Saccharomyces cerevisiae S288C: one gene and its partner. Changing the gene in region 1 together with any one later gene gives a genetic interaction. Each region holds a gene or a part of one and is shown on either strand. Other genes may lie near its edges.

The links.
Region 2: of CBP3 (region 1) and QCR7, changing one suppresses a phenotype caused by changing the other (phenotypic suppression), as found in Saccharomyces cerevisiae (one study listed by BioGRID).

What each region holds. Positions count from the first base shown.
Region 1 is NC_001148.4:145,555-148,923, reverse strand, and holds CBP3 (Cbp3p), read right to left. Parts: upstream 1,509-3,369; coding exon 501-1,508; downstream 1-500. Other genes in the region: THI6 (bifunctional hydroxyethylthiazole kinase/thiamine-phosphate diphosphorylase), read left to right, coding at 1-355; YPL216W (uncharacterized protein), read right to left, coding at 1,795-3,369. UniProt on the Saccharomyces cerevisiae protein: Chaperone required for the assembly of ubiquinol-cytochrome c reductase of the mitochondrial respiratory chain.
Region 2 is NC_001136.10:1,495,665-1,498,513, reverse strand, and holds QCR7 (ubiquinol--cytochrome-c reductase subunit 7), read left to right. Parts: upstream 1-1,965; coding exon 1,966-2,349; downstream 2,350-2,849. Other genes in the region: CAB1 (pantothenate kinase), read right to left, coding at 1-282; APA2 (bifunctional AP-4-A phosphorylase/ADP sulfurylase), read left to right, coding at 746-1,723; HLR1 (Hlr1p), read right to left, coding at 2,657-2,849. UniProt on the Saccharomyces cerevisiae protein: Component of the ubiquinol-cytochrome c oxidoreductase, a multisubunit transmembrane complex that is part of the mitochondrial electron transport chain which drives oxidative phosphorylation.

The sequences.
Region 1 (3,369 bases):
TGGTACTTTTGGAGGCGAATACAAACTTTCATCAGGAACAGAAGGAATAACCGCTGAAGATCTTCCATGTGTAATAATTGAAGATGGCCCAATTCCTATCATGGGTGACATCACTGCAAGTGGATGTTCACTTGGTTCTACAATTGCTTCCTTTATCGGTGGGTTAGATTCCACTGGAAAACTGTTTGATGCTGTGGTTGGTGCTGTCCTATTATACAAATCAGCTGGTAAGTTGGCTTCCACCCGTTGTCAAGGAAGTGGTTCATTCCATGTCGAATTGATTGACGCATTATATCAATTATTCCATGAAAATAAACCAGAAAAGTGGTCCGCTTCTTTGAAGAAATTCAAATAAACTATTTACAACGTAATGATTTTATAAACTGATTAAATAAGGAAGAAAGCCCAAAAAATTGGAAAAAACTTAAGGAATTTGTGCGGATAGTATCTGAAGAATAAATAAGTGTTTTCATAAGTTTTGAAGTTACAAACTAGCTCGTTTAGTTTGTATATGACAGCCTACTTCTCTCGCTTGGTAAGGTTTTAGGATCCTTGTCTAGAGCTTCATATTTTGCAATGGTCTTGGCCTTCAACTCTTCCTCTTGCTTTGGTGTCAGTTTTTCGACCTTCACCCCAGGAGGAACAAACTTGAATTTACCTGTGGCAAACTCTCTGTCTGATAACCTGCTTAGAACATATAGTTGAGAATAAATGTATCTCACAACAGACTCTAAATGAACCATATCAATGTTCTTTCTTCCACCAAAAAGATTTCTCCAGACAGCTGTCGCAAGTGTACCATCATCTGTAGCAAATCCTTCATCATATGCAAATATCGCTCCTCTTAATTGCGTATTGAAATCTTTCAAATATTGATCTGCGATTCTACCAGAATTAACTTTCATTTCCTCGAATAATCTCAGCTCAATGTCAGAAAATGTTCTATCTACCAATTTCTGCTGATAGTTTCTGCCGTATTTGAAAGGCATGGCTCTCATACGTACAAAAAGTATCCACTCGTGCAATACAGTGATTTGAAACCATTGTGAAAAAGTACGTGGTAGCTTCAAATCCTCGTAAAAGTATTTAGCAGTTTCTGATAATGGCTCGTCCTCGTATTGTAAACCTTGCTCTTTACAAATTTTATAATAGTAAGATCCTGCAACGGGCCCTGCCCTCACTCTATCCATATCTAAATGAAATGCTCGAATTACTAGTTCACCCAAGGCTTCTTTCCATTTGGGAAGTTCGTACTTTGACGATTCATATTTACTATGAGCTAGAGGAATTTTATTCTGAGCAGTTTTCACTGGTGCTTTATTGCTTACATCTAGTGGTTTCGAATTCAGATGTGAGCTTTTTGCTAAAAGCTCTGGCGAATCTTGTGCAGTTTCTTTATTTTGCTTGAAAACACATGTTTGATGCAAATAAGCTCTCGAGTAGTAAAAAGGGGACTTTCTAAGGAAAACAGGGAGTCGACCTGAAGTAAATCTATTGACTGACATCATCAAGTGTTGGAATAGCTGAAGAGATTGTTACGGAGATCATAGTGTTTGCTAAATATTAATCTTACTAATGCGTCAGTCGAGGACCAATTTTGACGTTGTTTTCCTTGCTGGCTATAAATTCAGAAGAACGCCGGGTAAAGCCTAAATACAACTCCAGTCAGACGCCCTGAAATGGGCCAATTTATATACGAGGAATAATGAATGGTGAAGATTAAATAGTAAAAGATATTTCTAATATCTTTCTAAGGCGTATACAGGAAGAGTGATTTGAACTGCAGAGTTGTTTCTAGTTGCGTTCTTCATCCTCTCGTCGTCTTGAAATAAGTTGACATTCAATCTCCTCTAATATACCCTGCACATCAAGATGTGCAGCTTTATCTACTCGTTGAGAACTTATCCCATAGCCTGAAACATGACTAATATGCTTATACCTCTGATGATTTAAAAGCTTCGTAAGAATATCCTCTTGCCTTTTTCTTTTCGTTTCAACTATAAATTCGAGGTCTATCGTCCTCAATTGTTCGAAATGAAAATTCAAAGGATAAATCAAATTTTGTTGCTTTTTGAGAAGTGCTCTTTCACATTCTCCAAGGTGAGCTACGTCTTTTAAAATCGCTTCCAAAACGAGATCATTCTTTGTCCTTGATAGTTTTTTGGAAATTTTCTCCATGTTGGAAAAATGTTGGCCGTTGGATGTACAAGTTGTCTCAATTCTTTTCAGTTCAGGAAACGTGAACTCGTTATTTTTCAAAAGTTTGTGATTTTTTTTGAAGGTTTCATCACATTCAATACGCCTTTTAATTTTGAACTGTTGCTTGTATGATACTTCAATACGGTCCATTTTGGATGTCAAAGCTTTCTTCAATTGTCCCTCATTTTCTCTTAAATCATCCAACCTATCTACTAACATATGTATATCTTCTATATCGTTGAAGAAAGCCCATTGATGATGAGAGAGTAGGAGCTTTTCTGGAGTTTCTGATATAATTTTTTTGTCTATGAATGCCGGAATAGTTGGCCTCATTAAGATACCGTTTGAATTAATTATCATGAAATTCTCACCTTGAGCAATTTGATAGTAAGACCCGTCTGTCGACCTAAATATTGAAAAGACTTCTTTTGTCGCGTAGGCAGTACCTTTTGCTTTAGCTAACAACTCCCATTTTTTCAAAGATTCGACGTCGACATCTAAGCAAAAGTTTATATCCGCTTCAGAGGGTCCTTGAACCCACAAAAAACAGCAGTTGTAAAGTTCCTCATTTTTTTCACTGATGGCTGATGACGATCCATTTGAGTCCATCCAATAATATCGATTTCCATTTCTATCTTTACCCAAAATCTCTAGTCTCTTGATATCGCTCTGAATCAATTTTGCCTCTAGGAAGGCGATATCTTCCATTAAGTATGCAATTTTCACTTTAAGGGCATTGACCTTACCTTTACATTCATCTGATCCATATCGGTTCATTGAAACGTTGCTGTGAAGCTTCACGCGATTTTTGGTTAACGTTTTTAGTTGCCGTTTCAATTTGATATACTCTTTTTTTGCACTATCCAACTTTAAGCGGATTCCATTGCACAGTTTTGGTACTTTATCTACCAACTCCTTAATATAACTCGAGAAATTGGACGCAAAATCTACGAGAACCCATAAAACATCAATTTTATCTTTTATAGATAATCTCTTGCGAAAGTTATCCCAGAGCTCATCACCTAAATTTACAAAATTCATGGATAAAGGTAGTATTTTTTTTGTGATACATTTTGCGACATCACTATATGCTATCATATGTGTATTCTGTTGCAAGATTCCAAGGAGACAGATCAACCAATTGCCGTTGCTAAAGTTTTTATTGTGCAA
Region 2 (2,849 bases), on another chromosome or scaffold:
AAAATTTTCATACAACAAATCATAAAACTTGAAGGCGCCACCACCAGTGGCAATTATATGAGTCATTCTATAGCATCCATTGTTATGTTCTTTGATAATAGAATGCAGAAGTTCCATGAACTTGTCAATTTTCTCTGTTTCAATGGTGTAGAACATCAGCCTGTTACTGTGTATAGGCGAGAAGACTACTTTAGCCAGAGTGCCTCCTATATCAATAGCAAGGTTGAAAGTATTGTCGCCATAATCGCAATTGTAAGATATCTCTTGAGTAATTCGCGGCATTGCGATTCTTTTCGCATGCACTCAATTGGAACTATAAATTTCTTTATTCTGGTAGTTTTTTAGTTTTAATGATCAATCTGTTCAGAAACATAAGTTCTTTTTACTCATCGTTATGTTGGTGAAATAAAATTTCGGCCGATATTGGGGGAACTGCGCTAGTCGTTTAACGTCATGTAAGATTCCTAAGTGGAACAGTCAGAAGTAAAAAAAAAAAAATCGGTCCCGGCAATTACAAACTAAAGGAGCTCAATGCGTAGATCGCGGATAGTTCTCCGCATTTGAGTGAAACTTTTTGAGATACTGTCGTAAATACGCAATCATGAACGACCATATGAATAATACTCGATCATACCAACGTCACGTGTAAAGCTTTTGCCTGTTTCGAAAATGTGTTGAACTATTGAAATATAATAAAATTAAAAGGCAACCGAGCCCCTGGGTCAGAGAAAATAGGAAGACAAAGATGATTGAAGAGAATTTGAAACAGAAAATCCACGATAAGTTCGTTGCAGCCAAAAAGAATGGGCATCTGAAAGTAACGCATGCAGAATCCAAGAAGTTGAAAGATCCTCAAACGACGACACAATATTGGGTGACATTTGCTCCATCTTTGGCACTTAAGCCAGACGCTAACAAGAATAGCGATTCAAAGGCGGAGGACCCGTTCGCCAATCCCGACGAAGAACTAGTGGTGACTGAAGATCTAAATGGTGACGGAGAATATAAGCTGCTACTCAACAAATTTCCTGTGGTCCCTGAACATAGTCTCCTAGTGACAAGCGAGTTTAAAGACCAGAGATCTGCTTTGACGCCAAGTGACTTGATGACTGCTTATAATGTGCTCTGTTCTCTCCAAGGAGACAAGGACGATGATGTCACTTGTGAAAGGTATCTGGTCTTTTATAATTGTGGACCTCATAGCGGTTCCTCACAAGATCACAAACACTTGCAGATCATGCAAATGCCTGAAAAATTTATACCTTTTCAGGACGTATTGTGCAACGGAAAGGATCATTTCTTGCCCACCTTCAACGCAGAGCCATTACAAGATGATAAGGTTTCCTTTGCTCATTTCGTCTTGCCGCTGCCGGAATCGTCTGATCAAGTGGACGAAGATCTTCTTGCTATGTGTTACGTATCTTTGATGCAGAGAGCACTTACATTTTTCCAAGATTGGACCAATGAGTCTCCGGAGTTGACCAAGTCATACAATGTGCTACTGACCAAGAAATGGATCTGTGTAGTTCCAAGATCGCATGCCAAGAGTGGACCGCCATTGATGTTAAACATTAACTCCACGGGGTACTGTGGTATGATCCTCGTTAAAGACAGAGAAAAACTAGAGAACCTCACTGAAGATCCTCATCTTGTGGACAAGTCGTTACTGCAATGCGGTTTCCCCAACACAGCAGGCCAAAAACCAACAGAGTATCACTATTAAGGTCTATTAGCCATATGTACATTGTCTATAGATGTGTAACTGCGCTGTGATCTTGTTTTGACCAATCAGGAGCGACGCGCTTTTTATCGGGTCACCCCGGCGGGGGGCCTGACAATTTACTTTCATAGAGCAGTAATAAAAGGGAAGAGATGTAAAAGCTTGGAAAAATAGCAGTAAAGGTTGTTGTTGGACAATTTATCAGAATATTAGTAACTGTAATTAAACGTTCCAGAAAGAACAAAATGCCACAGTCTTTTACGTCTATTGCGAGAATTGGTGACTATATTTTGAAGTCACCCGTCCTCTCCAAGTTATGTGTTCCAGTTGCCAATCAGTTCATTAACCTCGCAGGTTACAAGAAGTTAGGGCTCAAATTTGACGACTTAATTGCAGAGGAAAATCCCATCATGCAGACCGCTTTAAGAAGACTCCCTGAAGATGAATCTTATGCCAGAGCATATAGAATAATCAGGGCTCATCAAACCGAGTTGACTCATCATTTACTGCCAAGAAACGAATGGATCAAAGCCCAAGAGGATGTTCCTTACCTGTTGCCATACATATTAGAAGCTGAAGCTGCAGCTAAGGAGAAGGACGAGTTAGACAACATAGAGGTCTCCAAATGAAAAGAAGAATAAAAAAATCACCACGAACACACAACCCGAAAAAAAAAAGGCATTAAATATTCATTTGAAAGAAGGGACAGAGACTAAATCATATCCTTTATTATCTCTCTATATATATATAAGCGTTTGCTTGAAACGTTTACTTCATATTATTTATTTATCTATAGTCTGAACTTAAAATTTTATTATGAAATTCGTATATTGTAATGTCTAGTGTTATAAATCGGGTATCTATTAGTATTTATTTTTTCTATAATTATGCAGGTGATGGGGTATCGAGTGGTCTATATATCTTAAATTTATTCTACTATTTCCTAGTGCAGAATAACTTGGCGAAAATTTTGAACTTTCTATTCTTCTTAAAAGATTTTTCTTCATACTGAGTTGAACTGTGCTTACTATCCTTGTTAATGGGAGCAGATTTTTGTTTCGTCGGCAAAATGACACTTTTATCAGATCCACTAGTTTCGTTGTATACGTGGAGGGGTTCTCCTCGTAGT